Oryctolagus cuniculus: one gene and its partners. The protein of the gene in region 1 purifies or fractionates together with the protein of each later gene. This does not show direct contact. Links are inferred from orthologs where the notes say so. Each region holds a gene or a part of one and is shown in the gene's direction. Other genes may lie near its edges.

Region 1 (6,397 bases):
CCAGCGCTGCAAGGCGGAGGAGCCGCAGCGCCAGCCCTGTCCTATGCTTTCAAAAATGTTTAAGAACATAACTGTTCCTCTACAGCAGAGATGGGGGAAGTTTTATTTGGCCAAGGGCCGGGCCATGTGGATATTTCTAAAATCATTTGCAGGCCATACCAAATTATTAGAGATTAGCCAGCTATAGGTTTATTGAATTTTGAGTCCTCTCTGCAGTTGCCTTGGTAGTGCCAGACCAAATGATTTTGCGGGACTTCTATGGCCCATAGGCCAGACGCCCTCTACGTTTGCCCTAGAGGGTGATTTGCTGAAAATTAAACCGAGTCCTTTGCGAGCTTACAGACGCATAGTTGGAGGTAGGGGCCTGTCACAGACAAGAATGATTTGTGGGGACGGCGCCGCAGCTCACTAGGCTAATCCTCCGCCTTGCGGCGCCGGCACACCAGGTTCTAGTCCCAGTCGGGGCGCCGGATTCTGTCCCGGTTGCACCTCTTCCAGGCCAGCTCTCTGCTGTGGCCAGGGAGTGCAGTGGAGGATGGCCCAAGTCCTTGGGCCCTGCACCCCATGGGAGACCAGGATAAGTACCTGGCTCCTGCCATCGGATCAGCGCGGTGTGCCGGCTGCAGCGCACCGGCCACGGCGGCCATTGGAGAGTGAACCAACGGCAAAAGGAAGACCTTTCTCTCTGTCTCTCTCTCTCACTGTCCACTCTGCCTGTCAAGAAAAAAAAAAGAATTATTTGTGAATATAAGTGTAGAGAGTAGTCACAGGTATTTTTGGTTGGAGAAGGGAAGAAGGTAGTGAGTGTTTCAAGCCCTGGAATGATTGGGGCTGGAGGGAGTTGCTATGTTTTGCAGTCAAATGGAGAAAATTTGTTGAGAAAGTAGGATATGTAGAACTATTAATAGTGGAGAGATGAGGGCTCAGCTGAGGCCGAATCTGCCTGATGAGATGACTCTCTCTTCTGGCAGTGAACACTAAGAAGGACTCGGAGTCAGCTCCCGTCAAAGGAGGCACCATGACCGACCTGGGTAAGGGTCGACCTCGGGCAAGGCTGTCAGAGCCCGAGGCTGGGGGAGGGCTCAGCCCCGCCTCCCCCCTGGCCTGACAGGCTTTGCAGCAGGACTCCCCTACCCCTCGGGAGGCTTTAGCCTTATCACACTGCCTTCTCTTTCAGATGAACAGGAGGATGAGAGCATGGAGACCACGGGCAAGGTGGAGCCAGTTTAGAGAGGGCCTCCCTCTCTATGTGATTCTGATCTGTGATGATAAAATTCCTTCTGTCCCAGCTTTTCCCACTCCAGGCTAATCCTAGCTATTGCTCAAAGCCCCAAGCCTTTTCGAGTCCCTCAGCCCATGCCTGCTCACTCCTGTCCACCCATCATCTGTGTCCACTTCCCTGGGGTGTGGGGGGAAGCAGAGGGTTGCTGAGGGGACAGAGGAATGCTGAGTGTCCAGCAGCCTCCATACTCCTAGGATGAGGACGAGAACAGCACGGGGAACAAGGGGGAGCAGACCAAGAATCCAGACCTGCATGAGGACAACGTGACTGAGCAGACACACCACATCATCATTCCCAGCTATGCTGCCTGGTTTGACTACAACAGGTATTGTTCTGGCTTCTCCCTGGATGGCTTCCCTGACTCCAGGATCAGTGAGCTGCTGCTTCCCCTGCCTCCTCCGAATGAGAGTTTTGCCTCAGCCAGGTAGACCAGGCTGCTTTTCCATTCTCAAGGAGCTCCTGGTCTATTTTGAGTCTTAGAGGCCTTGTAGGGTGTTCTCCCTACATCTCTAATTCTTTCCTGCAGTTTCAAGCCATCTCCCCATCCCACCTTCTAGGCTTTTCTCCCCTCTGGAGCTCCCGCCTCTCCTCTAAGCCCATGTCCACTCTGACTTCTCTTGCAGTGTGCATGCCATTGAGAGGAGGGCTCTCCCCGAGTTCTTCAACGGCAAGAACAAGTCCAAGACCCCAGAGATGTAAGGAAATCTCAGCCCATGATCCCCTTCTCCCCTCTGTCCCTGCTTGCCCTTCCTGACCCAGCAGCATTCAGTTCAGCAAGCATTTGTTGAGCTCCTTGCGTGCTAGGTTTATAAAGACGTGATCTGTGCAGCCCAGCACTTGGACACGTGTTCTTTAGAATGTTCCCAGGGGGACATCCAGCATGCCTTTCTATGCAGAACAAGTGCCTGCTCTGGTACCCAAAATTCTGGCCCAAGGACACAGCCTCTCTGCCATGATCACTGAGACTGTCTACAGTGCAGACGTCTGTAGCACAAGTAGGAGCTTTAAAATATGAGTGACTGTCACCAAGCTGGTCTGAGAGTAGATTTTGATGAAAAGGACAAGAGAAGGAACTCAGAGAGGACCTAAGTCTGTGAATGGAGGGATAGAGAGAACTAGTTAGTATCAGGTGCAGAAGTCTTCATCTCCTTCAAGGTTTTGCCTCAGGCCAGACTTGCCTGGCTTTGGTTAAGACTCGGTGACCTTCTGTGGTTAGGGTTACTCCAGGGTAAATGCATGAGAAGGTGGGTGAAACTGAGAACTGAACAGGTTTTCTTCTTACCTGTTCCTCAGCTTCCCTTTTCTGGGGTCCTCTCTTCCCACCTGTTTCTTGGCCCATAGCCTGGTTCTCCTCCCAGCAAAGCAGTGTGCGTGAAAAGAAAGGAAAAGGAAGTAGTGCCCAAATGATACACCAGTCGGGTTGGGCCGGAACAAATTCTTGGTATATTCTAGTAAATGATGGCAATTGCCTTCATCTGTTGAGAGCACTGTCTGCCAGGCACCATCCTGAGTGTTCTGCACACACTGATTTTATCTCACATTAACGTTGGAGATAGGTCGTGTTATCATCTCCAGGTTACAAGTGAGACAGCTGGCTATAAAGGCGTTGTGTCTTGAATAAGGTCACACCACTAGTAAGTCGGTCTCCTTCAATCTGCCTCATGTTTTCAAACTTGACATTGCACCCCTAACAGCTTCCACGTCTTCAGCTCCTGCACTGTTCCAGACTGTGCTAGTGCTTTCCAGGCTTCCACGGCCCTCGGCAGACATTCCACTGTACAGGGGAGGAAGCTGAGTTCAGGAAGTTAAAAATCACTGGTCAAGGCCATCGCAGTAGAACTGGGATTTGAAGTTATATCTTCCCACTTAAGAACATACGTTCTGGGCCGACGCCGCGGCTCACTAGGCTAATCCTCTACCTGCAGTGCCGGCACACCGGGTTCTAGTCCCAGTCGGGGCGCCGGATTCTGTCCCGGTTGCCCCACTTCCAGGCCAGCTCTCTGCTGTGGCCAGGGAGTGCAGTGGAGGATGGCCCATTGGGAGACCAGGATAAGTACCTGGCTACTGCCTTTGGCTCAGCGCGGTGCGCCAGCCACGGCGGCCATTGAAGGGTGAACCAGCGGCAAAGGAAGACCTTTCTCTCTGTCTCTCTCACTATCCACTCTGCCTGTCAAAAAAAAAAAAAACTGTCCACCGTGTCACACATCTGCACACGCACAAATAAGGCTCCCCTTTAGTGTCAGGGTTTTAAGACAAGGGCATCTTTTCTTACCTTTTGATTCCTTGTTTCAAAGTTGGGTGTAACATCTCTGAGGGTAGCCAAGAAGACATTCATTTGCCTGGAACCCCGTCAGGGAGAGTGTGAGGCTGTTAGAGTCCCTTGCAGCCAGCACGCAGCAGGCACTCCGTGTATAGCGAGTCAGACCGTCTACTCTGTCCCATCTTTGTGGTGTAGGAGGAATCGTTAGCTCTTTTACCAGTTTCCTACCCTTCAGCCTTCAACATGTCTTCTTCCTCTTGTTCATCCCTTTCTCTCCTAAGCTACCTGGCCTACCGAAACTTCATGATTGACACTTACCGACTTAACCCCCAAGAGTACCTCACCTCCACTGCCTGCCGCCGGAACCTGGCCGGGGACGTCTGTGCCATCATGAGGTGGGTCTTGCCACTGAGTGGAGGGCAGGGGTGTGTGGGTGCATCCTGGCAGAGGGCAATGCAGCCAGCAGTGTAAGGGAGAGGACAGGGACAGACCTCTAGAGAAAGGTGAAGCCCAGGTGTGGGTGGTGGCAGTGTGGACAGGAGCACGTCCGTGACCATGACCGTGACAGCGGTTCTGTTTCACCAGCTGTCTGGGGAGGGGTGCTTAGCAGCATCTGGCTGAGAGAGGGTTAGACTACAGATGCGGGCTTGGTGTCACTGGGGTCTGGGTGGTGGGTAAGCAGTGGGATTTTCCAGAGAGTGGAATAAACAGAAGAGACCAGGGGAGGAGGAGAGGGAGCTTTACACCGCTGTCTCTACCACAGTCCTCCTCATGCACCTTTCCAGCTGTTCCATGTGACCCTGACTCTGCCTCCCTCCTCACAGGGTCCATGCCTTCCTCGAGCAGTGGGGTCTTATTAACTACCAGGTGGATGCCGAGAGCCGACCAACCCCCATGGGGCCTCCGCCCACCTCTCACTTCCATGTCTTGGCCGACACACCGTCGGGGCTGGTGCCTCTGCAGCCCAAGACCCCGCAGGTAGGGCGAGGGGCTGTGGGGACAGGGTGGGCTTGGGTAAGATTGGGCTTCTTCAGACTTTCTTTTTCTGGTTTTTAGGGTAATGGTTCAGGAGTATTTTGAGGCTTCTTCCTTTTCCATGGGAGGCGAAGGGCCACAGGCGTGAGCCCCGTGTGTTAGCACCCTCTCTCAGCCTCTGTACTCAAGGCTGCGAGGACTTCCTGAGGGAGTGAGATCCTCCTTGTCCTCAGGGAGCAGATAGGCCAGTGTAGGGTTGAAGCAGACAGAGGAAAATGGTGTAAAATTGACTTGCATGAAATTGTCACACTTCCTCATGTTTCCCACATTTTTTCATTTTTGTCTCATAATTATTATCACCTCCATTTTTTCCACTTCCATTTCATCTATTATAAAAATTAAGAGAAGAAAGGTTATGTGGCTTGCCCAAGGTCACAGAGTACCAAATCTAGGAATAGAATCTAATTGTCCAGCTCCTAAGAGAACCTTAAAAGTACATGTGCATACAAATGGACACCATGCCAACCATGTGTCTAATTAATCAGAAAGGGAACTGGAACAGTGGCATGAGTGCCCCAGAGCTTGCGGGCCACCCAGCATTTGGTCTTGGCCTGGTCATTTCCTGCCCAGCTTCCATGACGCCAAGCTCTGTCCCCCAGGGCCGCCAGGTTGATGCTGATACCAAGGCTGGGCGAAAGGGCAAAGAGCTGGATGACCTGGTGCCAGAGACGGCTAAGGGCAAGCCAGAGCTGGTAGGTGGGGTGCAGACCCCGCTGAGCTTCTTATTTGCCCCTTTATTGGGGGTCCCCTGCCCGGGAAAAAGAGGCATGAGAGCAGAGGAGCTACAGCAGTAGGGGAGGAAGTCCCGCCAGGGACGTCCCTGGACTGGGAAGGAAGCTCCTTCTGTCTGTTTTCTCTCTCTGTCTGCCCCTGACCCCCAGTGGTCACTCGTACTCACCTCTTTCTTTCCCCTCCACAAATAGCAGACCTCTGCTTCCCAACAAATGCTCAACTTTCCTGACAAAGGCAAAGAGAAACCAACAGACATGCAGAACTTCGGGCTGCGCACAGACATGTACACGAAGAAGAGCGTCCCCTCCAAGGTAGGCGGTGCAGGCTGGCTGCGGGGCTGGAGAACCTCTCCCAAGAGCTCCCAGGCTCCTGCCTCCTGACCCGCCTGCATCCTCTGCAGAGCAAAGCCGCAGCCAGTGCCACTCGAGAGTGGACAGAACAGGAGACCCTGCTACTCCTCGAGGTAATTGGGGCAAGGAAGAGAGTTCTGCTACAAAAACAGTAGGGACCAGGGTGCCAGCTGCACTTGGGAGCTGGGAGAGCTCATGGAGTCTGGCGTGAGCAGAGCACCATCTCTTCCCGGTCTCTCCCCTTCCTGATGTCTGTCACACCTGCCCCAGGGAACAGCTCCAGGCCAGGGATCTGGGACGTTTCTTTAACTTCAGATCCTTTCTTAGTGCTACTTGGAGATCCCCCTTGGATCCAGCAGAGTAAACACAAAGCAGAACACAGAGAGCTTTGAAGCCAGCTGCCCCTGGTAGCATAGCGGGAGTTGACCTCCAAGGAAGGTGGCTAAATAAGAAGAGTTATGTCTCCACCACCCCACCAGGCACTGGAAATGTACAAAGATGACTGGAACAAAGTATCTGAGCACGTGGGAAGCCGGACACAGGATGAGTGCATCTTGCATTTCCTTCGTCTTCCCATTGAAGACCCCTACCTGGAGGACTCGGAGGCCTCCCTGGGCCCCCTGGCCTACCAGCCCATCCCCTTCAGTCAGTCGGGCAACCCTGTCATGAGCACTGTTGCCTTCCTGGCCTCTGTCGTCGATCCCCGCGTCGCGTCTGCTGCTGCAAAGTCTGCCCTAG
Region 2 (6,397 bases), on another chromosome or scaffold:
CCTAGCCAGTTACTGTTATACCTGTATCCACAATGGAGGAGTGGCTTTGTTTTTGCTGCCCATGAGCACCAATTCTGATCTTTTCCTTTATTACATGCTTAATAATGAGTGTTGTTCACACAGCTTTGTGTCCTATTTTTCTCCTTGTTCTTAAGTTCTTCCTTTAAATTGGGTTGACAAATTTTTTGTCAAAAACAAAGTAAATATTTTGTGCTTTCTAGACCAAAGGATTTCTGTTACAACTAGTCAGCTTTGACCTGTGGTGCAAAACAGCCATGGATAATATTTAGTGTAATAAGCTTGGCTGGGTTCCAGTACAGCATTTTATGGGACACTAACATTTAAATTTAATGTGATTTTTCGTGTTTTATGTGTCTTTAGAAACCATTCTTGCCTCACATACCACAGTTTTCTTTAGCCTATGCCACAGTTTGCTTGATATGTGTCTCTTGCATAACCCAATTTCTTGCTGTCATTACGTTAATTTGCATTGCTAATTACAGACAGCCTTTGCACCTTGCATTAGGAGAAAATCAAAGGAAAGAGTGTTTAATGGTATCAGCTAAATTCAGACTATGTATTAAATGCCAGCCAACTCTTGGGCTTCTGAGGTTTAAATTCTGTGAATTTGAGATACTGACAAAAATAGACTATAAGATACACATATGAATACGGAAGATACAGGTACACATGTATATATATATATACACACACATATTTGACAAGAAAGTGTATTTGCGAATAGTATCCAACATTCCACCTATCAAATTGAGTAGATTATAATGGAAATAATTCTTAAATAACATTTGTCTAACACTTGTAATCTCCATAGCACTTTCCACATGCATCATCTCACTTATTCTTCACAGCATCTTGGGTAGTAAGCTTGAAAGTGGTATGTTATCCCCATTGGTGACAAAACAGTATGAGAATTTAAGTGATTTGCTTGACTCTAATTGGATAGTGGCAGAACCAGGATTCTTGTTCATTGAACACTCAACAGCACTTTGGAAATAGAAGGAATGGTATCATCACTTAAAAAAAAAATTATTTATTTGAAAGTCGGAGTTATACACAGAGAGAAGGAGAGGCAGAGAGAGAGAGAGAGAGGTCTTCCATCGTTAGTTCTCTCCCCAGTTAGCTGCAACTGTGCCGATCCGAAGCCAGGAGCCAGCAGCTTTCTCTGGGTCTCCCACACAGGTACAGGGGCCCAAGCACTTGGGCCATCTTTTACTGCTTTCCCAGGCCATAACAGAGAGCTGGATGAGAAGTGGAGAAGCCGGGTCTCGAACTGGCTCCCATATGGGATGTCAGCACTGCAGTCGGTGGCTCTACCCACTACACCATAATGCCAGCCCCATCACTTTTAATCTTACCATTTTGCAAAGCAGCACCCAAGTTTTGGTGCTAGTAATTTATAGAGCAAACACTCAGGAACCCCAGTCTCCCAATTAAGTAGGTCAGTGTGTTTTCTGTTAGGGTGCATCTCATATAGAGATAACTAAATGGAAAGTAATGCTTATGATAGTTTGATAGTTTTATTTTAAAAATAAATATTTTTTCTTAGTATCTTAAAAAGTATCAAAATGTTAGGTACCACGTAGCATGCTTAATGTCTTAACTATGGTTCAAAGCTAAAGCTTCTGGACTTCAGTATATGTGGAATAAATGCAAACTTCAACTTTGTTCCTTTCCAGCACCAGCATTGGATGTTGATTGGCAGAGCAACAACACCTTTGCTTCATGTAGTACGGATATGTGCATTCATGTCTGTAAATTAGGACAAGACAGACCTATTAAAACATTCCAGGGACATACGGTAAGAAACCTTTTCCCTCCCTGTTACAGGGATTATGACAAGTGATATTTCAGAATAATTTTGACATGTTTCTGTTTAATATCTGCACAGTAACCCAATCTAGCAAATGAAAATGTGAATATTTATTTTTAGAATGAAGTAAATGCTATCAAATGGGACCCAACTGGCAATCTCCTGGCCTCCTGCTCTGATGACATGACTTTGAAGGTAATTAATGTTTAATGGGGATGCGATGGGAGTGTCACACAGTGTGCCTGCTTTGACTGTTTAGAATATTTCTTACATTGTATGTTTAAGCCTTGGTGAGAACTTTTCCTGCTCTCTAATGATTAATTATTGTTTTGCGTACTTTAATTTTCTTTTCTGGGATATATAGAATTACTTGAATATAGCAAATACATTGTATTAATAGTCATACAGTTATGATGGCATATTAATCAGCATTCTCCAGAGACATAGAACCCATAGAGGGGACAGACCAATCAATCCATCGTAAGAGATTTGTGAACAATTGGCTCACAAGGTTATGGTCGCTGATAATCACATGCATGTTCTGCTGTTTGCCAACTAAAGACTCAGAAAACTGCTGGTGAAACTCCAGGCAGGATCCATGGCCTAGGGGTCAGGAATACCAGTGGTTAAGTTCCAGTCCCTGGAAGCCCAGTATCCTAGCTCAGTGGTCAGGCTGCCGTTCTGGTTTGTTCCGGACCTCTCTGCATCTGATCATACCCAGCTACACTGGAGAGAGGGTAGTCTGCCTTACTTAGTCTAGTGATCAAAACCCAGTCTCATCCATAAACACCCTCACAAAACCACACAGAAATAATGTTTAGTTAAATCTCTGAGTTCTCTATGACTTTCTCAAGTTGACTTATAAAATTAACCCTCACAGGCAGTAAGAAATGTAACACTATGTATTGGTTCAATTAAAGTTTATTTTCACATGTGAAGATCTGACTGACAAATATTTAAGATCTTTGAAGCATTTGTGAATTTATCTGAAATTCTGTGAATTGTATCAATTTGCTTTTGTTGTGATGTGAATTTGTATCTCCCTGGCTGGGAAACTGATAGAAATGAGTTGGGAGTCTCTGAGTGACTGAGCAAGCCTACATGCCAGCAGCCACGTTTTAACCTGCATTTATTATTTTTTTCTTGTCTGACTGAAAGCAAAACTGTTGCTACCTTTCATCTAAGCACATTGTACCACAGTTAGGGAAAAAGAATTTTGAAGTAAAAAACCAGCCAACTACTAATCTCCAAAATAAATGAAGCCTGCAGTTCTCTTCTGTAACAGATAACTCTACTGAAAACAGTTTTATCTTTGACTTTGTGATACCAGACTGCAGATGTGATAACCTTTACAGATAAAATAATCTTGAGGGAAAACTGCTTTTCCTCCTACCATGAATGGACTGAATGTAACCTTGGGAACTCTCTGGATTTTTTTTACCCTAAGTACCTGCTGTTTGTTCAGTCAGATAGTTCTCAAGTGCTGGCTCCCTTAGGAGCATTGCTAGTAAAAAGGCTTTTCTTAATGCTTTTATTTTGGAGTTTTCCTTGTATGTACATATATTAGTACTTATAAAATGAAAAATTTGTAGAAAAGCATATGATATACAAGGAAATGGAAGCCGGTGCTCGTTGAGCCTTATGTCATGGATTGAGTTGCAGCTGCAGAGATAGATTGGAACTTGAAATTTTAAGAGAGCTTTTCTGCATCTTAAGAATAAATAAAGGTCACATAGGATTTTAAAACAAAAACTAGGTGGATGGGCAAGCTGTAAGAGGGCCATTTTCTGAGAACAGGGAATACCTAATTGAGTGAGAAGATCATATTGAATTTTAATAATGTCGGAGTAATGCAGATGGAGAGGCTTCATGGGTCTGATTCTCTCATTACAAAACACCTACCTAAGCTTCCAGAGACTGAGGAGTGACCAAAGTGGAAAAGAGAGAGAATGTGTAGAGAAAAGTACTTCACAGAGACACTGGATGGGAGTGGCCAACAGTATCAAATGCCATTGGAAGGAAGTCTAACGAAATTTGTTCTGGAAAAACATCTTTTGAGTTCATTTACATGGGGTTATAAATGCCTGAACTGCAAAAACACTATGATAGTACCCCATTATTTTTTGTTAGTTTTATTGTAGGAGTATGAAGTCCAGCTAACTTTTGTTTCCCTTCTGCTGTTGGAGTTGATGTGCTTGTGTTTGTCAAGACATCTTATGTGTTTCCCCCATTCCACCTTTCAAGTCTATATTGATACATCCAAAAATACTCTGGATGTAGGTTTCTATTAATTTTTGCTCATAATTAATGCAGATTTTTTAACCTGAACATAGCATTTTTCACCTCAGCAGAAGCTTATTCTCTACTACTTTAGCTCTATTGCATGTGTTTTCATCACTTGTTCTGTTCGAGTCATCACATTATTTTGTAAGCTGTTTACTTATTTTCACTTCATTACAGAAAGTAATTTCCGGCTAGTTAATTCTAAGAGCAATATATAATGTCTGTTATTTAAGGGACAGCATCAAAGCAGTCCCTTTAACATTTTGATGTTGAACTTTGCAACTTTTTAATCTACCAGAAGTAATCATGGAAAAAAACTATAATTCAGTCTTCAAACCTTACAATAGTGAATATTTTTGAAGGCGACAAAGATAATATCATTTATTCCAAAAATATTAAATATATTCTGTATTTAAATTACAAATATTCCCTTAATTTTGGTTCTATCACTCATATTTTGGGCTGGCAAGATAGTATATTTTGAATGTACTCATTATACTGAACCATAATTATATACATTTTCTTTTTTGTTTAGATATGGAGTATGAAGCAAGACAATTGTGTCCATGATTTGCAAGCACATAATAAAGAGATTTATACTATCAAATGGAGTCCAACTGGACCAGGGACGAATAATCCAAATGCCAACCTTATGTTAGCAAGGTGATACGATATTTCTGTTTTACTCTTCCTTTTATGAGTCCTTTACAAATAAAGCTTCTAATGAATTTGAATTTACAAGTAGGGAAGATCCTATGACATGGCAGTGTAGATCTTACAAGCATAAATAAACCCACCCACTGAGCCTTCTTGGCTGTCACAGGGTCTTGTCCTAGTAAGAAACGGCAATCAAACCCAGGCACTCTGATGTGGGATGCAGGTACCCTAACCATTGTCTTAAATGCCTGGCCAAACTCCCCAGGGACTATATTTTCAAGGGGGGCCTTTAAATACAGGCTATATTATTAGTATTTCAGGACATAATGGAGGTAACCAAATTCTGACTTGATATCAAATATTGATTAAAATGTAAGTAATTTAGACATAATGTATAGTTCTGTTTTTTCATCATCTTAAAAATAAATCAATAGATTTGGCCAATTCTGTGTTTAAGATCATGAATCAGTAAAAAGGGATTATTTGAAGTGAAAAAGACAGTGAATTACCTTATTTATGTTTTCTGGTTTAGGGATTTAGAATTGTCTAGGTTCCAGAATACTTATTTCCTTACAGTCCAATCTTCTTCTCATGAAGAATTTGTGGCTGTTTCAAGTATCAGAATATTGGCAGATTGGATACAAGGCTATAAGAGTATTTCATTACCTTTAATCTAATTTTCTTTCCTCCATTTTCAGTGCATCCTTCGATTCTACTGTTAGGTTATGGGATGTTGACAGAGGAATTTGCATACATACTTTGACAAAACACCAAGAGCCTGTGTACAGCGTAGCTTTCAGTCCTGATGGCAGGTATCTGGCAAGTGGCTCTTTTGACAAATGTGTACACATCTGGAACACACAGGTATGTTTGAGATATTTAGATGGTTTGGTGTTCTTATACCTGGGTGGATGCATTTGCCTATACAGATGTGGTCTTTGGGGCAGGTATCATTCCTCCTGTGGGGTTAATTGAATTATTAGTTTTAAAAAGGGAGAATTTATGGCTCAGTAATGATCAGAACTGATTGAAATTATGTTTTTTATATTTACTAGTGATTTTAGGTTATCTGTTTATAATTCATTGTTTTGTTACTTTTTCTTCCCCAGCAGTTTCATAGATAAAAATTTTGAAAGATTAAGATGCACTTATTTAGATGAATAACATTTTGATTTTCTAAAAGGATTATCTTTGAGGAAGTAATACATGAGCAGTGAAAAATAAAGGACAAGATTTTATGGTGGAGCAGGATGATATTACGAGAAACAAACTTAGAACCTTGGCACCTTTTCAGGGTTATGCTAGAGAGCGAGCCATAGAGAAGTATAGAGCCATCCTGTTGCTTTCATTTTTTAACCTTTTCAGTGTTTTGGTTTTTATACCCATATACTCTGTGGCTTTTTTTTTTTTTTTTAAAGATTGATTTATTCATTAGAAAAGTAGAAGTGACAGCAGCAGAGGTGGGGAGGAGAGATTTTCCATCAGCTGGCTCACTCCCCAAATGGCCACAATAGTCAGGGCTAGGCTAGGCCAGGCTGAAGCCAGGAGCCTGGAATTTCATCCAGGTCTCCCACCTGCATAGCAGGAATCTACCCAACTATTTGGGCCATCTGCTGCTGCTTTGCA
Region 3 (5,552 bases), on another chromosome or scaffold:
GCCTGAGCTGAGCCCCTGCAGGTACCAGCTCCAGACAGATGGGTCATTTCCTGCACATCTGTGGCAGGAGGGAGATGGGCAGGTACTGACCAGAGGCGCAGCTGCACCTCTGCCCTGGGCAGTGAGAAACCCCAGTCCAGGCTGCAGCTGGGTGCTGAAGGATCCCGAGCTTCCCGAAGTGCGCAGGTTGCATCAGGATTCCAGCTGCCTCTGTGCTCGGGGTACAGAAATGCCGAAGTGAATCCGCGGGAGCCTGCAGCCAGCCTGCAGGGCACAGGAGCCCTGTGCTGTGGAGACGCCGGGTGTCCTGAGTCCTGTTGAGGACAGCTGCCCGAGCTGTCGCCTTCGCTGTGCTTGGTTTCAGATGAAAACAGCAACCAGAGTTCGGCGTCTGACGTCTACCAGCTGAAGGTGGACAGCAGCACCAACTCGAGCCCCAGCCCCCAGCAGAGCGAGTCTCTGAGCCCAGCACACACCTCGGACTTCCGCACAGACGACTCCCAGCCCCCCACGCTGGGCCAGGAGATCCTCGAGGGTGAGTCTGCCTTCACGATTGTCTTCTTTGGAGGAAGGGGTTAGGGGAGCACCCCACGGCCTGGCACCATCAAGCCATTTGGTAACAGCTTGGCATAGTTACAAAAACTTTTTTTTTTTTTTGACAGGCAGAGTGGACAGTGAGAGAGAGAGACAGAGAGAAAGGTCTTCCTTTTGCCGTTGGTTCACCCTCCAATGGCCGCCGTGGCTGGCACGCTGCTGCCAGCGCACTGCGCTGATCCGATGGCAGGAGCCAGGTGCTTTTCCTGGTCTCCCACGGGGTGCAGGGCCCAAGCACTTGGGCCATCCTCCACTGCACTCCCAGGCCACAGCAGAGAGCTGGCCTGGAAGGGGGGGCAACCAGGACAGAATCCGGCGCCCGACCGGGACTAGAACCTGGTGTGCCAGCGCCGCAAGGCGGAGGATTTAGCCTAGTGAGCCGCGGCACCAGCCAAAAACATTTTTTTTTTTTTTTCAACTTGAAAAGCAGAAAGGGGCCAGTGTTGTGGCACTGCAGGTTAGGCCACTGCTTGTGACACCAGCATCCCGGATCAGTGCATTTCAGTCCTGGCTGCCCCACTTCCAGTCCTGCTCCCACTGACGCACTTGGGAAAGCAGCAGAAGATGGCCCAAGTACCTGGACCCCTGCACCCATGTGAGACCTGGAAGAAGCTCCTGGCTCCTGGCTTCGGCCTGCTCTGGTCCTGGTTGTTGCGGCCATCTGGGGAGTGAATCAGCAGATGGAAGACTTCTTCCTCTCTCTGTCTTGCCCTCTGTGTCATTCTGCCTTTCAAATAAAATAAATCCTTAAAACAAAAAAAAAAAAGAAAACTTCCATCCATGGATTCACTCCCCAAATGCCTATAATACCTGGGACTGGGCCAGGAGGAAGCCAGCAGCCAGGAACTCCATCCAGGACCCCGACATGGGTGTCAAGAGGGTGTTCAGTAGCAGGAAGCTGGGTTCAGAACCAGAACCAGGACTGGAACCCAGGCACTCTGATGTAGAATGCCGGTATCCCAGCCTCTGCAGCAGACACCCAGTGCCCTGCACGTGGGCGTGTTGAGGAAGGACTGACTACCCCGTCCGGAGAGGCAGGAGGAAGCATGCGGCTCGAGCGAGGCGCAGGCGCTGTGGAGCCTGGGTGACCTCTCAGACACCCTGAGACAGAGAGCAAGTGGAGGCCTGGACGGGATCGCGGCGCTGCCAACTGGCAGAGTGGGCGTCAGCTTGAGTCCCTCAGACGCCAGCGTCCGTGCCCTTTGTGCTCTGTCCAGCACAAGCCGGAGTCGAGGTGCCCTGTCCTGGGCCCTCGTCAGCTTTGCCGCACTGCGATCTGGTGCCAGCTGGGCTACACGACAGAGCTGTCCTCTGTGTAGCTCCCTCCGTGTCTGTCTGCATCGCATCCCGTGGCAGGGGCCTGGGGAGCAATGAGCTGCTCTGGTGGGTCCAGGCACTTGCAGGCCAGGCTGGTCCCCTGTGGCCTAGTCTTAGTGTCCCCACCTCCCCGGGGTGGCCGTGGCTGCTCCACAAGACTCTGGCTCCTTCCCTCCTCACTGAGCCACTTCTGTCGGGTAACTGAGGACAGCGCCCTGCCTGGGGAGCTTGCCCTGGGCTGAACCTGCCGCTTTTTCAGAGCCCTCCCTGCCGGCCTCCGAAGTTGCCGACGAGCCTCCCACCCTCACCAAGGAAGAACCAGTGCCCCTGGAGACACAGGTGAGCGGTCACTGTGGGCGTCCCAGTTTCTCAGACACAAAGTAAAGGCTCTGTCGGCCCCTGGAGGGCGCAGAGAGGGTGTGGGGCGCCTCCGGGGTCTGCCAACCCACCTCTGGCTGCTCCTAGGTGGCCGCGGAAGAGGAAGATGCAAGTGCCCCACCCCTGAAGCGCTTCTGCGTGGACCAGCCTGCAGTGCCGCAGACAGCGTCGGCGTCGGAGAGCTAGCGGCGTCTGCACCCTCCGCCTCCCACCCCGCCTCTATTTATTGTTCTCTGGCTCTGGCCGGGCTGTGTCGCTGGGGTGAGGGCAAGCGCTGGGGTCCAGAGCCTGCACATAGGAACCGTCCAGCCTGGAAGCTGACAAAGGACTTGGGGTTGCAGCACCATCATCTGTCCCTGGCACCTGTCTGCTTGTTCCCCCCAGAGGAGGAGTGCTCCTGTCCTCCCATACCCAAGTAGGCTGGAGAGTCCGCCCTCCCCGGTTCTTCTGTCACCCCCAGGTGGCAGTCTCTGCCCCAGGACCTCTGGACGGAGCTGCTGGCATGTCTGAGAGAGAGAGAGAGAGAGAGAGAGAGAGAGAGAGAGACTGTGAGAGACTGTGAGAGACTGTGAGACTGTGTGGATGGCGCCCTCTAGAGGAGAGAGTGCCTAAGGATACTTGAACTTGAAAGGAGATTGTAGAAGCTGGGATCCTCAGGGTGTGCGGCCTCCAGGCCGCTGCTGGAGGAGACTGGGCCAAGGGAGGGAGGGTGAAGGTCCGTCTCTGCCCCAGCCCGAGGCGGTCCTGCCTCCGGTGGGCTCTGGCTGCTGGTGGTCTTTGTGCCCTCCCCCCGCGCACTCCCACGCCGGCGGCTTTGTTCCCACCCGTGCGTGTCATTCCAGCACCCCCTGCCTCCTGCTGTACACTCTGCCTCAGCAAGAAGTCGAGGTTCTGACATCAGCACCCACCCCCACAGTACTGCTTCAGCTCAGACTTCTAGAAAGTTCCCTCTTCTTTCAAACCTGCATGTTTAATTGAACTTTGTGATTTTATTTTTTGTTTCAAAAAAAGTTTAAGAAAATGGAAATGAGCGACAGTGAGTGAAGACATATTTTAGCACTGAATAGAATATTTTTAAAATTAAACTATTTGAAATAGTCTTGTTGGTCTCTGAGTGCCTCATTGTGGAAGGGGGCAGGCAGGGCTGGGGGTGCTGGGGGCTGGGCCCTTAGACAGGAGTGCGCTGCCAAGATTGCCTTGACATTGTCGTGTGGCCAGTGCTGTCCCTGTGTGTCTTACGCAGCCCCAGGCAGCAGGGAGGAATCCGTGAAGTCTGTTTTTCACTTTTGAAATCGTCGTAGAATGCACATCACACGAAAGCTTAGCATTTGCACCTGCAGGTCAGCACACAGTGTAAGCTGCTCACACGTCTGGTCATCGCCACCCTCCCCGTGAGCCTTCTCACTGCCCCCACGGGACCCTCCCACCCCACAGCACTCGCTCCCTGTTTCCCACTCTTCCCAGGCCCCGGCAGCCACGGATTCCTTTTTGTTCTGATTCCTAAGGAAATCAGAAGGGTCATGGTTGAAAAGAATCTGGCGTTAGGTGTGTTCAAGAGTTTCCTAAGTAATGCCTTTGACCCCTCACCGGGGCTCCAGGTATCATGGACGGGACTAGAATCCAAGTTCTGCTGCCCCGCCTTATTAACCCCTACTTGTTTTTTCTTAAAAATTGGACACTATTAAGTTGTGAAATGAATGTCACAGATTCCATGATGACTTGTGGCACATAAGATAAATGTGTTCTCTAATGTATTTAAGCAAGGGAAAGTATAACCAGTAAGAGGCCATCAAAAAATGGCCAGGGGTAGGTGTTTTGGGCAGTGATTAAGTCACGTCCTGTATATTAGAATGCCTGGATCAAGTCCCAGCTCCTTTGCTCCTGATCCAGCTTCCTACTAATGTTCCCTGGAAGGCAGAAGATGAAGTTCAAGTACTTGGGTGTCTGTCACCCACGTGAGAGAGCCAAAGGGAGCTCCCGGCTTTGGCCTGGCCCAGCCCCAACCCTAGCTGTTACATGGGCATCTGGGGAATGAACCAATGGGTGGATGGTTTCTCTGTCACTCTGCCTTTTGAATAAACACATCTTCAAAAATACAAAAAAAAAAAAAAAAAAAACATATGGGCTCACCTAACTAATGGTGTGGAATAAGGATTGCCCCAGAGGCCAGAGGGGTTTGGAGTATAAAGAAGACGAGTGGACCTCACCTTTTTATCTGGGGTTAGATTTCCATGCTGTGTTAGTCAGCCTTGACAGGTGCTTGTTTTACAAATACTTGGTGCCGATGTATCCCACATGGTCGCTGTCTTTTTAAGGAGTGTATGGTGTGGTGAGGTAGGGAGGGTGGACAGGAGCCTATGCCTCACGGGGGGTGGGGTGGAGGGAAGAGGACCGTAAGGGTCCGGGGAAGCGTTTCGCTGGGCATTGAAACCTCTGGTTGGGTGCAGACAGACCTGAGGAAAGAGAGTAACCAGGGCAAGTGAGGGACAGAGGTGGCAAAGCACTGGGCGTATGCAGGAGCAAACCATGTAATCGGGTCTCTAACTTCCCCCACATTTCAGGGAATTTGCAAAACCGGACAGTTAGCAAAAAGTCCCATAAATGGGTAAAGTGTTTCCTTCACCTCGGTTCACCTGGTACCCCTGGGTGGTTGGTCCAGGACCCCTGCAGATACCAAAATCTATGGGTGCTCACATCCCTTAGATAAATGGCCACAGGCGTGGGTGGTGGTGCACAGTGGGTTAAGCTTCCCCTTGGGATGCCCGCATCCCACGTTGAGTCCGTCTGCTCTGCTTCCAGTGGCGCTTCCTGCTTAGGCATCCTGGGAGGCAGCAGACGATGGCCCAGTAATGGATTCCCGACACCCACGTGAAAGACGCCCGGCTTTGTCCTGGCCCAGCCCGGTGGTTGTGGGCATTTGGAGAGTGAACCAGCAGATGGAAGATACATCTCTCTTCTCTCTTGCTCTGCCTTTCAAGTAGATGAAAATAAGAAACATTAAAAACAAAGATGAGGCCAGCACCGCGGCTCACTAGGCTAATCCTCCGCCTTGCGGTGCCAGCACACCGGGTTCTAGTCCCGGTCGGGGAGCAGGATTCTGTCCCGGTTGTCCCTCTTCCAGGCCAGCTCTCTGCTGTGGCCAGGGAGTGCAGTGGAGGATGGCCCAAGTGCTTGGGCCCTGCACCCCATGGGAGACCCGGATAAGCACCTGGCTCCTGGCTCCTGCCATCGGATCAGCGCGGTGCGCTGGCCGCAGCGCACCA

The links.
Region 2: the proteins of SMARCC2 (region 1) and TBL1XR1 fractionate together in Homo sapiens (co-fractionation; 3 studies listed by BioGRID, with this or other methods). This does not show direct contact. The link is inferred for Oryctolagus cuniculus from reciprocal best matches to the Homo sapiens genes SMARCC2 and TBL1XR1.
Region 3: the proteins of SMARCC2 (region 1) and BCL7B purify together in Homo sapiens (affinity purification with mass spectrometry; 3 studies listed by BioGRID and IntAct, counting the BioPlex papers as one, with this or other methods). This does not show direct contact. The link is inferred for Oryctolagus cuniculus from reciprocal best matches to the Homo sapiens genes SMARCC2 and BCL7B.

What each region holds. Positions count from the first base shown.
Region 1 is NC_091442.1:58,975,919-58,982,315, reverse strand, and holds part of SMARCC2 (SWI/SNF complex subunit SMARCC2), read left to right. Parts: intron 1-971; coding exon 972-1,031; intron 1,032-1,177; coding exon 1,178-1,215; intron 1,216-1,476; coding exon 1,477-1,607; intron 1,608-1,905; coding exon 1,906-1,977; intron 1,978-3,823; coding exon 3,824-3,937; intron 3,938-4,366; coding exon 4,367-4,520; intron 4,521-5,176; coding exon 5,177-5,269; intron 5,270-5,500; coding exon 5,501-5,620; intron 5,621-5,709; coding exon 5,710-5,772; intron 5,773-6,138; coding exon 6,139-6,397. UniProt on the Homo sapiens protein: Involved in transcriptional activation and repression of select genes by chromatin remodeling (alteration of DNA-nucleosome topology).
Region 2 is NC_091435.1:102,881,919-102,888,315, forward strand, and holds part of TBL1XR1 (F-box-like/WD repeat-containing protein TBL1XR1), read left to right. Parts: intron 1-1,697; coding exon 1,698-1,819; intron 1,820-1,951; coding exon 1,952-2,026; intron 2,027-4,649; coding exon 4,650-4,777; intron 4,778-5,469; coding exon 5,470-5,635; intron 5,636-6,397. UniProt on the Homo sapiens protein: F-box-like protein involved in the recruitment of the ubiquitin/19S proteasome complex to nuclear receptor-regulated transcription units. Plays an essential role in transcription activation mediated by nuclear receptors.
Region 3 is NC_091450.1:50,491,203-50,496,754, forward strand, and holds the end of BCL7B (B-cell CLL/lymphoma 7 protein family member B), read left to right. Parts: intron 1-364; coding exon 365-535; intron 536-2,170; coding exon 2,171-2,250; intron 2,251-2,376; coding exon 2,377-2,475; 3' UTR 2,476-3,388; downstream 3,389-5,552. UniProt on the Homo sapiens protein: Positive regulator of apoptosis. Plays a role in the Wnt signaling pathway, negatively regulating the expression of Wnt signaling components CTNNB1 and HMGA1.